Linked DNA regions of Oryctolagus cuniculus. The protein of the gene in region 1 binds, or shares a complex with, the protein of each later gene. Links are inferred from orthologs where the notes say so. Each region holds a gene or a part of one and is shown on either strand. Other genes may lie near its edges.

Region 1 (7,151 bases):
TGAAAATAGCCCAAAAGAGGACACTCAGATTTATAAAGAGACATTCCTTGCCTAATTTAAAAAAAGAAAAAAAAGCTTTTCAAAGGAAATCATGTGAAGTGACGATTCAAAGGAAAGCACAGCCCGTACTGAGCTCCTTTTGGTTCAGCAGTCATTGACCTATGGGAGCCCCGAAATGCTCCCAGCACGAGGCGGCCGAGGGCTTTGGAAGATACCTCCATCAGCTGCTTGAGGGTATCGTTACAGGCACCTAGCTTGGTCATCGCAAAAGCCGTAGAGATGCTCAGGGGTGACAGGAAAATGTTGTCATTGTCCTTCTTGGCGTCTGCCAGGTGCTTATAGAAGATGGTGGCGAAGCGGGAATTGGCCTTGGATAGTTCCCAGACCCGACGATTGGTGGCCTCAGGGATCTTCAGTTCTGACCCCTCATCCTCCGTTGCCTTCTTCTCTGGGGAACGGTAAATGCACATGGGGTTCAGAGGGAAGTCCCGGGGCTTGGCCGTGCAGATGTCCTCCACAGGGCTCTCGTGACAAGCCACACGGCCCCAGAGGCCAACGAGCAGCAAGGAGAGAAGACATACCTTCCTACAAGGAGACAGAATGCTGAATTAGGCTAGGCTGGGGGACCCCCGATCTAATGGTCAGCTACAGGCTTGCCTCAGTAGAGCACACGGTCCCAGCCCATGTGATGTGACCAGGAGGAAGGTCAAAGCCTCAGAACCAAGTAAAAGAGGCCAGGACAACTCTCTGCAAATGGGTAGTCCTACTTGCCTGGATAGACTCAGGTTGGGAATAGAATCCACAGCTTAATCAACCAATGCTAAAGGGCCCACACTGGGAGAAATTAAGAATGCAAAGCTTGGGGCCAGCGACACTGCAGCACAGCAGGTTGAGTCATGGCCCGCAGCTCCGATGTCCCATATGGGCAACAGTTCAAGTCCTGGCTACTCTACTTCCTATCCAGTTCCCTGCTAATGAGCCTGGGGAAGCAGCGGAAGATGATCCAGGTCCTTGGGCCTCTGCACCCACGTGGAAGACCCAGAAGAAGCTCCTGGCTCCGGCTTTGGCCGGTCATTGTGGCCATTTAGAAAGTGAACCTATGGATGGAAGATCTATCACTCACTCTATGGCCGCCGCCTTCTTCTTTTTTAAATATTTTATTTGTTTACTTGAAAGTCAGATTTACAGAGAGGCAGAGGCAGAGAGAGAGGTCTTCCATCCGCTGGTTCACTCCCCAGATGGCCGCAATGGCCAGAGCTGTGCCGATCCAAAGCCAGGAGCCAGGAGCTTCTTCCGGGTCTCCCACGTGGGTACAGGGCCCAAGCACTTGGGCCATCTTCCACTGCTTTCCCAGGCCACAGCAGAGAGCTGGACAGGAAGAGGAGCAGCCAGTACTTGATGGCACCCATATGAGATGCCAGCACAGTAGGCGGCGGCTTTATCCACTACACCACAGTGCCAGCCCCTCTTTGTCCTTCTGTCTCTGTAACTCTGCCTTTCAAATAAATAAGTAAATCTTTAAAAAAAAAAAAAAAAGAATGCAAAGATTTCCATTTATGACAGGGAACACACAGGAGAAAATAGGCTGGGAACTTCAGTGCTTAATGAAGAGTTAGGGATAGCCGGCACCGCAGCTCACTAGGCTAATCCTCTGCCTGTGGCACCGGCACCCCGGGTTCTAGTCTTGGTTGGAGCGCCGGATTCTGTCGCGGTTGCTCCTTTTCCAGTCCGGCTCTCTGCTGTGGCCCAGGAGTGCAGTGGAGGATGGCCCAAGTGCTTGGGCCCTGCACCCCATGGGAGACCAGGAGAAGCACCTGGCTCCTGGCTTTGGATCAGCAGGGTGCGCTGGCCGCAGTGGCCATTGGGGGGTGAACTAATAGAAAAGGAAGACACCTTTCTCTCTGTCCACTCTGCCTGTCCAAAAAAAAAAAAAAAAAAAAAAAGAGTTAGGGCAGTAGGGGGAGCCACTTACAGAAGCTGTTTAGGGAAGGCCCCACTCATCAATAATGGAATTTAGCTGGATCTTAAAGGACAGGAAGAAATTTGATCGAAGCAGCCAAGAGATTTCAGCAATAGGAGGGGTAAGGAGGAAAGGGGCAGGAGCATCTGTGTGTTGAAGGCACCCAATCCCTGGCTCCAGCCCTGATCTCCTGCAGAGCTCCCCACAGTTGCTGGAGACTTGCCCTGGGGGCCTGCAGAAGGCGTGTTTCTCTCGCACCCACCTGCTTCTCCTTCACACGCTCCAGCTCAGGCATGGGACCCTCCTGGACCCTGGCCTTCTCACCTGATTGACCCCAGGTGCCACTCACTGCACGCTTGCTCCTTCCCAGTTGCTGCCACTACGTAGTTCAGAACCTCGTCCTTTGTTGTTTTCTGGAATTTTCAATAGCTTCATTTTCAATAGCAATATGAAACTCATCTTGTAAAAAATGAGCTAGTGAGACTAGCAGTTAAGAAGTAGGACTCAGTAAAGCACACCAAGAGACAGTCTCTGGTAGAAAACACGTGGGCTGGGAGCTTCCTCCCGCTGGTGTGGGTCCCTGGGGCATTTGAGGACTGAATCTGGAAAATCTCTCTCTCTGCCTTTCAAACAAGCAAATAAATAAAACAAGAAAAAGGCACGCAGCGCAGACAGGACTCACTGAAGCGTCTCCTGGGCGGGCGTGGGGCCACCTGGAGCCTGGGTGCAGTCAGGGGGCTTTCTCCCGGCAGGGTCCGAGGCCAGCCCCGCGCCTCATAGCAGGTGCAGGGTGGTAGGCAGCAGGAAGCAGCGAGAGAGTGGGAGGACCCTTCCCTGCCTCCCCTGAGTGTGTTTTGTTTCTCGTTTTGTCTTAAGCTACATTAGAAATGGGGGGGGGGGGCACCCGGGAGCTCTGTTAAAGACCAAGAGAAGGCCGGCGCCACGGCTCACTAGGCTAATCCTCCGCCTTGTGGCGCCGGCACACCAGGTTCTAGTTCCGGTCAGGGCACCGGATTCTGTCCCGGTTGCCCCTCTTCCAGGCCAGCTCTCTGCTGTGGCCAGGGAGTGCAGTGGAGGATGGCCCAAGTGCTTGGGCCCTGCACCCCATGGGAGACCAGGAGAAGCACCTGGCTCCTGGCTTCAGATCAGCGTGGTGTGCTGGCTGCGGCGGCCATTGGAGGGTGAACCAACAGCAAAGGAAGACCTTTCTCTCTGTCTCTCTCTCTCTCTCTCTCACTGTCCACTCTGCCTGTCAAAAAAAAAAAAAAAAAAAAAAAAAAACAGGACCAAGAGAAACCAAGCTGCTGGAGCTGACGTTTCACTTCAACGTCTCAGGAAACCAGACCAAGACAGGGGAGGGAGGAGTCCCACGGCGGAGAGGGCACCCGGCTTGGCCCTCTTGTCGAAGGTCACTGGGATCTTGGGCAGGGGGCAAGCAGGCGGAAGGAGGAGCAAAGGGAGTTAGGAGGCCCTCGCGTGTTCAACTCGCCCTCGCCGCCCTCCCGTTGGAAGGCAGGCAGGCCCTGGAATCCCCCAGGGGGCGGACCAAGCATGCTCTGCACGGCATCTTCACGGGAAGGAAGAGGCCCTCTCAAGGCCCGGCCGAGAGCCTAAGGTGTGGCTAAGGGAGGGGCGGGGAGGCGGCAGGGGGCCTTGAACCGGCTTCCGACCACTCTTGGAGGGCGAGCCCCAGCGAGAGGGGCCGGGGTCAGCCTCCGTGTGAGGGCCGCAGGCCGAGGGAAGCCTCGCCCTCTTACCTCTTAGCAGCCGCTCGGGTTCCTGCCCCGCTGGAATACATGGTCGCCACGCGTCCCGGGCTGCGCAGGTGGAGACAGTGTCGCTGAGGCACTCTCTGAAAACTGGTTCTTTGCTCTAAAGCTCCCTGAGGTTCCAGAGGCCGGGAGGGGGGAGGGGCGGGCCAGGAGGGGAGGGCTGAGGTCAAAGGCTGATGACCAGTTCCCAGGGTTAAGCAAAGTGCAGCGCCCAGTGCTGTTTACTTGGCCGAGAAGTTGGGGTAGGCCCGGACTAGCCCGGCCTAGGACGTGGGGCCCATCTCTGCCTGCGCAACCCCGCTCTCCTCCCGCCTTTATAGACAAGGAGACGGAGAACATCCTCGGGAATTAACGCTTGGTCAGAAAATACCTGCCTGTGGAGAAGTTTGACCGCGGGATTACCGCAGCCTGCAGTGCCAGCATCCCATATGGGCACCAGTTCGAGTCCCGGCTGCTCCACTTCCGATCCAGCGCTCTGCTATGGCCTGGGAAAGCAGTGGAAGATGGCCCAAGTGCTTGGGCCCCTGCACCCGCGTGGGAGACCACTACTGGCTCCTGGCTCCTGGCTTCAGCTCAGCTCTGAATCTGGAGCGTGAGCCAGCAGAGGGGAGACACCCCCCCAAACACACACACCTGTGTAACTCTTTGAAATAAATAAATTTTTCTTAATTGTATTGATTTGAGAGACAGAGAGAGCGAGATCCTATCCACTCTTTCATTTCTCAAGTGCCCACAAAATCCATGGCCAAAACAGAATTGAGAATACTGTCTAGGTCTCCCATGTGGGCAGCTGAACCCAATCGCTGCTGCCTCCCGGGGTCTGCATTAGCAGAAAGGCAGAGCTGAGAGCCAGAGCTGGGTGCACTGATATGGGATGTAGTCATTGCAACCAGCGTCCTAACTGCTAGGCAAAGCACCTGCCCCGGTTTCAGTTTTCCTTATGGAGAGTGAGCCAGTGAGAGAGGAGAGAAGAGGTACTGAGACCATCATACTTAACCAAAGGGGAAAAAGACGAACAAGCTGCTACCTTCAGGTTCTGAGAGCCAAGGTGTCCCTAGACCAGACCAACACCCACCAAGGTCACACCTGTGGCTCACAGATGGCCCCATTCCCCACTCAACACCCACCACGGTCACACCTGTGGCTCACAGATGGCCCCATTCCCCACTCAGCCCTGAAGTGATGGGAGGCAGACACAGGAGCAAGGGCCCCAAGGTGCGTGCCAAGCGTGTTTCTACCGAGGAATGATGCTCCAAGATTTTAACCAAAATAAACTTATCTTTTACTTCCATTTTCCATGGAATTTTTGAAGCACTCTTGTATATATACAAATACAGTTGTTTTTCCACACTGTTTGAAAATAAGTTGCAAAGATAATGCCCCTTTATCCCTATATAATGTTAAGTTAAAAACAGTCCCTTGTATGGTTCCAATACAGTGATCAAAGAATGGAAATTGACATTGACATTGTTTTAAAATATAATACTATTTTCTTTAAAAAAAAAAAAAAAAGAGCGCTACCGTACCCTTCAGTCTTTTTTTATTATTTTTTGACAGGCAGAGTGGACAGTGAGAGAGAGAGAGAGAGAGACAGAGAGAAAGGTCTTCCTTTTGCCGTTGGTTCACCCTCCAATGGCTGCCGGGGCCGGCGCACCGCGCTGATTCGATGGCAGGAACCAGGTACTTCTCCTGGTCTCCCATGGGGTGCAGGGCCCAAGCACTTGGGCCATCCTCCACTGCCCTCCCGGGCCACAGCAGAGAGCTGGCCTGGAAGAGGGGCAACCAGGACAGAATCCGGCGCCCCGACCGGGACTAGAACCCGGTGTGCCGGTGCCGCTAGGTGGAGGATTAGCCTAGTGAGCTGCGGCGCCGGCCTTAAAATATAATACTATTTTCAAATCTATGAACCTTATTCTAATTTTCCCAATCATCCCTTTGTTTTTATAGCTGTAGTTTCAAACTTCTTGGTATCAAAATCCATTTATATAGTCTTGTCAAACAACATTTAAATATCATTAGTACAATTAAAATAGTTTTGGGACTGCCATTGTGGTATAGCAGGTTAAGCCACCACTTGTGACATATTAGTGCCAGTTAGAGTCCTAGTTGCTCCACTCTGATCCAGCTCCCTGCTACTATTCCTGGGAAGATGGCTTCAGTGCTTGGGCCTCTGCCACCCACATGGGAGCTCCCAGATGGAATTCCAGGCTCTTGGCTGTTGCAGCCATTTGCAGAATGAACGAGTAGATCGTAGATATATCCTTCCTGTAACTCTGCCTTTCAAATAAATAAATCTTAAAAATAAAGAATTAATTGGGCCGGTGCTGTGGCTCAGTGGGTTGACGCCCTGACCTGGGGCTCTGGCATCCCATATGGGCGCTGGTTCTAGTCCCGGCTGCTCCTCTTCCGATCCAGCTCTCTGCTATGGCCTGGGAAAGCAGTAGAAGACCTCTCTCCCCCTCCCTCCCTCCCTCTCTCTCTCTCTCTGTGTGTGTGTGTGTGTGTAACTCTGTCTTTCAAGTAAATACATAAATCTTTAAAAAAAATTAAAATGAAAGGTTTTGAAAAAAATTGAGAGGGAGGGAGCAAGCTGCATCCACTGGTTCACTTTCCAAATGGACCAAAGCCAGGAGCCAGTAACTCAATCTGGATCTCCCACATGGATGGCAGGAACCCGCATGCTCGAGCCCTCACCACTGCTCCCCTCTTCCCTCTCCGAGTGTCTCTGATAGCAGGAAGAAGAGCTGGGAACCAAACCCAGGTCTCCAGATGTGCTACAAAGTGTGGGGAGTCTTAGCCACGAGGCTGAATGCCAGCCCGTTAATGTCTTTTTTATTTACTTGAAAGGCAGTTGCAGGGGTGGAGAGGCATAGAGATCTTTCATCTACTGGTTCATTCCGCAAATGCTCTCAATAGGTGGGGCTGGGCCAAGTTGGACACAGGAGCCAGGAACTCCATCCAAGCGCTGGAGCCGTCTCCCACTGCTTTCCCAGGCACGTCAGCAGGGACTCAAAATGGCACTCACGTGGGAGGCTGGGGTCTCAGGTAGAGGCCTAACGGCTGTGCCACAATGATGGCCCCATGCCCGCCCTTCAAAATAGTTTCCAGTTTTTACTGAAGGTTTCTTGAGCTCTCCCAGGGTCCCTGGCAGATACTTTGGGAGCCATTGATTTATAACAAAAACAAACAAAAAAATTTTTTTAGTATTTATTTGAAAGTCAGAGTTACAGAGAGAAAGATCTTCCATCCGCTGGTTTACTCCCCAGATGCTTGAAACAGCTGGGGCTGGGCCAGGCTGAAGGCAGGAGCCAGGAGCTTTTCCAGGCCCTCTGCTGCTTTCCCAGGAGCGTTAGCAGGGAGCTGTACCAGAAGTAGAGCAGCCGGGACTTGAACCAGTGCTCATATGGGCTGCTGTTGCC
Region 2 (6,492 bases), on another chromosome or scaffold:
GATGGAAAATGTCAGTCTTACAAAGGGTTGTTGATGAGTAAATATAGATAAGTGAAAGAAATAGTTAATGGTGGATGAAGGAAGAAGTGCTGGTGGGATATGCTCAAGTAGGGATTGAAGGGATGTAAAGTGACATACAGTGTATTGTGTTGGCTGTAAGAGCCAACCAACATTGCTTTTTAAAGAAGGCAAAAGTAAAGGAAAGGAAAATACAAAACTTTGGTTGTGATGTTTGGCTACTCTTCTATACCATTCTCTACAATGTCTATTTGAGTCCTTCATGGCCCCTCCATCCCCAGATATATGTTCCATATCTTATATCCATCATAATGGAAAATGACAGGAATTATGAAGGAACCTGGATAGATACATAACTGATCTCAGAAAATTCCACTGTGACCTCAGGACATTCACCTGATCTTGTTACCCATTTGATGATTGCAGAGTCTGTAAAGTTGAGTCTCTTATGATGAAAATTCAAACCCCAGTAGAGAGAATACTTTGGAGTGAAGCATCCTTGAAATGACTACCAAATTAAGTTGCCCGGCAATATTATGAGCACTAATAGAAATTTCTGAATTGATGGAAGTGCTCTGCCCTGTCCAATACAGTATCCAGTAGCACGTGTGGCCATTATGCTGTGAACTGTGGCAGATGTGATTGAGGAATTGAATTTTTCATTATACTTAATTATAGTTAAGCTAAATTTCAGTGGTTATACATGGCTAGTGGCTACCTTATTGGACAGTACAGCATAATATAAAGACCTGCCTGGCTTCTTATTGGAAGAGGGGTCCTAGTTTCACAGATAGAATCACTTAGGCATTAACTGTGGGCTCAATTATAACCCAGGTTTTGCTAGAAGTGTGCTCTTGCTTGTAACATCAAAAATGTGCATAGATAATTCTGTACCTGTGGATGTCTGCAGACTACACTTGGAGGACTAGGTACCATGAATCCATGAGTATATTTTTTGTTTTGTTTTGGACCCTGACTTTTTTTTAACAGGTTTGTTTCTTTGGACCAGGGGTTTTCAAACTGGAGCATACATCAGAACCTCTTGGAGAGCTTGTTTGCCTGCAGAGTGCTAGGTTTCACTCCCAGAGATTCTGATTCAGTAGATCTGGAGTAAAGCATGAATATTTGCATTCCTGACAACTTCCAGGTGATGCTGATGCTGCCACATTGAAATGGACTTTTTGGATATGACTGTTGTTTTTAGCCCTTGTTTATACTGCTGTGGAACTATGGTCTTCCTGCTTTTTGCTTGTTGAATATTATGGTTGGTGATGTATTAAGCCTGTGATTATGGAGTGGATTGAAGGCATGCCTTTACAAAAATTGAAGAAAGAATTGAAAGGGGAGAGTATTGAAGAAGAGAGAGAAGAGAGGAGGGAATTATGGTTGTCTTCTTGGAACAGTACCTATGAAATACATGAAATCTGTTCTCTTTGTATTAATAAAAATTAAAAAGAACCACAGACACAAGTGTTGAATTATCACATCATATCTTACAAATATGTGCTATTAAAAGTTAAAAAGAAAAATAAAACCTTAGCTGTAGAACAAGCCCCTATCCCATATCCTGGTTCTGTGCACCTAGTTCTTGCCTTACTTCTGCCTACTCAAGTCTTTATGTCCTTTCAAAATACTTCAGCATCTCTGGAGCTATAGACTTTCTAACTTTTACCAGTTTTTCCAGGGACTGAAGCTGAAGTAGTACCCAGAACCCTAGCTCTTGTGACCTCACTTCCAACTCTCCCAATTGCTGACCAGCTGCTTGTCTGCAATCCTATGTTATTTTCTTTATGCCCAGTTCTTCTTAATTTCATATAAGATCTGTACCTGAATTTCTCTTTCACCAGCTGCACACTTGTGGAGGTGTTCTCATATTGTTTAGTGCTGAACTTTTCCTAAATACTTTTCTCACCTCATAGGGTTGTCTAGTGTCCTAGCCTCAGTCGCCCACCAGGCCTGTCCCTTGCCAGCTGAGCTCCAGTTTTGAGATACCATCAGCAGAGAGTACCTGCCACGGAAATTGACCCGGTTTTGCATTTTCTCCACCAACAATCCGAGTGAAGTCATCAGATGATTGGGCATCTTGAGTGACATTACCCCGAATGGTTTCAGCTTCAGTAAAATTTTCATACTCCGTATTGGAAAAAATTGTCGTAGCACGGGTGATTTTCTTAGAAGCATGTGAAACAGAAACTCTTCCACATGGAAATGGCACTGGAAAAGTAGAAAAATAGTTAGTATTCTGAGATTTCTCATTGGCAAGTAGAAGATGAGTTACAAAAATTGAGAATGAGACCCATCCTTATCACTTCTGAGAAGCAGAAGCAGACCCATAGATATATTTTTAAAATCTAATAAATAAATATTGTCTCAAATTAGAAGGTTGCTTGCATTTTTTTTGTGGAAAGTTTTCAAACCCTTCCTAAAAAGAACATTTGGCTCAGGGATCCATCATCTTTATGGAAATAGAGTAGGTGTTCCAGAATTAAATTGGGTAAGACTTTTATAGAGTATACTGACTTTCTGTTTAGTTTCTTTACTAAAACGTCTTACTCTTAAGTGCCATCCCTGAATGGAAATCTAACTTTGCAATTATGTAATTGGGAATTCTGCTCTTTATCATTAATAGGATTTCTTTTGTAGATTAGAATGCTTTCTAGATCCCAAGGTGGATTTTAGGAATTTGTTTGAAAGATATCATTATAATTCAATTACCTGGCTGTCAAATATTAACCAAATAGATTACTAAAGATTATCATAGCCACATATACTTGGTGTCTGGCCACCCTTTTCCACTGGGTTAATTTATTTTCTAAAAAAAATAAATCGTGTACTGATATGCTGGGGACAACCAGAATGGAAATTTGTAGTCAAACAAAGTCACCTAACATTTCATTTTCATTTCTGACTTTCCTTCTAGCCATGTTCCTTATAACAGGCATTTCTATAGCAACCAGCTGCGGCAAAGTATCATGAAGACAGCATGTGGTTGGGAAAACAGGAAATTAGTTCAAAATACTTATGTATAAATGTACATGATCAACAATGGGCTAGAGAAAAGGGACCGTTATTGAAAAGACAGAAAAGCTTATTTTATGTTTGGCCTACTTATTCTGTTAAAGCTAAGGCTGTATTCAAATATTACACTTAATAGTAGGAGATGGTTTTCAATTCTTTTTCTCTCTTACAACATAGAAGGGCTTGTAAGGGTTTAGTGTCTATACTATCTGTCTGGACTAGAAGTTGGACTTTCATGTTAAAGACACACACACTCCTTCTAAGAGAGGCTAGTTTTAAGGCATGTGAAAACAAATCAGAAGGAGAGGAAAGCAGGTTCTGAAACATTGGAGACTCTTCATTTTAGTTGCAGCATGTATGCACCGGGCTTCTGGTCCTTTCTTTAATATCTTCTGCCTGGTGCACTGTCAAGATATGCATTGAACCCAGTTTCAGAGGAATGGTGCATGATTTAATGTGCCAATTTAGTAAGATATCAGGCTTTGCTAATGCAAAAATTTATATCTAGTTAGCTTCAAAAAGTTCATTTATCAAATATAATTGATCCTGCAGAGTCCACTTTTTAAAAAATCAGTTTCTATTGCTTTTGTCTTCAGAAAAGAATAGTATGAGTGTGGGGTACCGAATATATAAATCTGCTGTCAACATGGTAGCATGGTTGACATGACTGGAAAACATTACTTTTTTCCCTGCTGTATGGATTGTGTTGATCAATCTAGAAAACTTGAAGAAGTTAGTTGCTAGAACCACTGAGACTAAGTGTGTAAACTTAGCTTGAGACCTAGGCGTAGGAAAAAACTTCCTAAAAGTAAACTAGCTTGGCCCTGTTAGAACCATGCTTAAAATTCACCATCCTTGTACTAGAAATCTATCACTATGTGTGTATCTTTGATGGTGTAGTAGTGCATTTTTACATTAGTTTGACTTAGTGAATTTTAAATACTTGTACAAAAATCAAACCAATTGCTTTGTGACATGAAAGAAAAAAATGGATGAAAATAAGAGTCTACACTGGAGATAATTACAGGATTTAAATTTAAAACAATGCAATTTGGAAACTCATTTGTATAATTCAGGCTACTGATCTTTTCATTGATATCAAGTGTAAGTAGACACAAGTAGAGATTAAAATTATGTAGGATACTTAAATTGTCGAAGGTCCAAATATAGATTTTCTTTAAAATACTTATTTTGATTTTGACCTGCTGGTTCACAAGACTTCTGGTTTTCCGCAAGTCGGTATCCCTCAGTACAGGAGCAGATAATCTTGTTATTACGATTCTTTCTACAAAACTGCTCACATCTGCCATTCTTAATGCTGCAAGTTGAATCTAAAAGAAAGTAACACAAAGAGTAATAACATCATGTAGCATTCATTTCAAACATGTACATGAAACTACTTATTCATGAATAGGTCAAGTGTACCCTGGGGGCATTTGTGGTGAAAAACTTGGAAGCCTTGAGCTAAGAGTGAAAAGAAATGTAAAATCCTTTCACTTTACTTTCACTGAATCATGACCTGCAATTAAACAACCTTATTGAAGTATAATACACATTCAGAAAAGTACATACTAAAGTTCCCATAAAGTAAATGTACCCATCTAGAAATTAAAAAGAATTATATGAAACATTATTAACATCCCAGAAGCTCTCCTAATGCCCCCTCCCAATCACTCTTCCCTTCTTCCTTTTCAAAGGTTACCATTAACTGGACTTCTGACACAGTGAACTGTTTTGCCATTCATGAACTCACAATAGATACTCCTCTGTCTTTCATTTCTCTTTTTGTCTTTAAGATTCATCCATGTTTTTGTATAACAGTAGTTCATTTACATTGCTGTGTAGTATTCCATTGTCTTAATATTAAAACATCAATCTATTTGGGACATTTCCATTTTTTTTGGAGCTTATGTATACTGTAATGAACATTCTTGTACATTATTTTTGGCAACGTAAGCATGCAGTTTTACTGGACTTACAAGCAAAATTATTCAACTTATGTTCAGGCCTAGTAGATACTGCCAAGCAATTTTCTAAAATGATTTTATAAATTAAAATTCCCACCATTAGTGTATGAGAGTTTCAGTTATTATATATATGTATTGCAAATAACTTCGTATATTTTGTGACTTGCCTTTTCTCTTTAAATAGTGTCTTTTACTGAAGAAAAGTTCTTGGTTTAAATATAGTCCAGTTTATTAATCTTTTTGTGGCAATTGCCTTTTGTATTGTTTAAGAGAATTTTACTTCCCTCAAGGTAAAAATATAAGGCTTTATTGTTTTATATATTTAAATCTTTAGTCCACTTGGGATTGATTTATGGTTTATAGTGTGAAGTAGGGGGCCAGATTCAGTTTTCTCCATATGAATATCTTATTGATATATCACTATATTTTTTTAAACTTTTGTTTAATGAATATAAATTTCCAAAGTACAGCTTATGGATTACAATGGCTTCCCCCTGCCCATAACTTCCCTCCCACCCGCAACCCTCCCCTTTCCTGCTCCCTCTCCCCTTCCATTCACATCAAGATTCATTTTCAATTCTCTTTATATGCAGAAGATCAGTTTAGTATATATTAAGTAAAGATTTCAACAGTTTGCACCCACATAGAAACACAAAGTGAAAAATACTGTTTGAGTACTAGTTATAGCATTAAATCACAATGTACAGCACATTAAGGACAGAGATCCTACATGAGGAGTAAGTGCACAGTGACTCCTGTTGTTGACTTAACAAATTGACACTCTTGTTTATGGCATCAGTAATCGCCCTAGGCTCTTGTCATGAGCTGCCAAGGCTATGGAAGCCCCCTGAGTTCGCCGACTCTGATCATATTTAGACAAGGTCGTAGTCAAAGTGGAAGTTCTCTCCTCCCTTCAGAGAAAGGTACTTCCTTCTTTGATGACCTGTTCTTTCCACTGGGATCTCACTCGCAGAGATCTTTCATTTAGGTGTTGTTGTTGTTGTTTTTTTTTTTTTTGCCAGAGTGTCTTGGCTTTCCATGCCTAAAATACTCTCATGGGCTTTTCAGCCGGATCTGCATGCCTTAAGGGCCGATTCTGAGGCCAGAGTGCTGTTTAGGACATCTGCCATTCTATGAATCTGCTGTGTATCCCGCTTTCCATGTTGGATCGTTCTCTCCCTTTTTTGTTCTATCAGCTAGTATTTGCAGACACTATTCTTGTTTATGTGATCCCTTTGGCTCTTAGTCCTATCATTATGATCAATTGTGAACAGAAATTGATCACTGGGACTAGTGAGATGGCATTGGTACATGCCACCTTGATGGGATTGAATTGGAATCCCCTGGTATGTTTCTAACTCTACTGTTTGGGGCAAGTCAGCTTGAGCATGTCCTGAATTGCACATCTCTTCCCTCTCTTATTCCCCCTCTTATATTTAACAGCGATCACTTTTCAGTTAAGTTTCAACACTTAAGAATAACTGTGTAT

What was found.
Region 2: the proteins of SERPINC1 (region 1) and F9 are in contact, whole or in part, in a crystal structure (PDB 3KCG), measured with the Homo sapiens proteins. The link is inferred for Oryctolagus cuniculus from reciprocal best matches to the Homo sapiens genes SERPINC1 and F9. Residues at the interface, in NP_000479.1 of Homo sapiens: Glu264, Asn265, Arg267, Glu269, Met283, Met284, Tyr285, Glu287, Met347, Val349, His351, Val420, Val421, Ile422, Ala423, Gly424, Arg425, Ser426, Leu427, Asn428, Pro429, Asn430, Arg431; in NP_000124.1 of Homo sapiens: Lys247, Val248, Asp249, Ala250, Phe251, Cys252, His267, Cys268, Glu270, Glu285, Tyr312, Arg358, Phe360, Lys362, Gly363, Arg364, Ser365, Leu367, Lys387, Phe388, Asp405, Ser406, Cys407, Gln408, Gly409, Asp410, Ile429, Ser430, Trp431, Gly432.

Annotation. Positions count from the first base shown.
Region 1 is NC_091438.1:2,335,259-2,342,409, forward strand, and holds the start of SERPINC1 (antithrombin-III), read right to left. Parts: upstream 3,876-7,151; 5' UTR 3,759-3,875; coding exon 3,718-3,758; intron 586-3,717; coding exon 216-585; intron 1-215. UniProt on the Homo sapiens protein: Most important serine protease inhibitor in plasma that regulates the blood coagulation cascade. AT-III inhibits thrombin, matriptase-3/TMPRSS7, as well as factors IXa, Xa and XIa. Its inhibitory activity is greatly enhanced in the presence of heparin.
Region 2 is NC_091453.1:117,822,306-117,828,797, reverse strand, and holds part of F9 (coagulation factor IX), read right to left. Parts: intron 4,368-6,492; coding exon 4,239-4,367; intron 2,233-4,238; coding exon 2,027-2,232; intron 1-2,026. UniProt on the Homo sapiens protein: Factor IX is a vitamin K-dependent plasma protein that participates in the intrinsic pathway of blood coagulation by converting factor X to its active form in the presence of Ca(2+) ions, phospholipids, and factor VIIIa.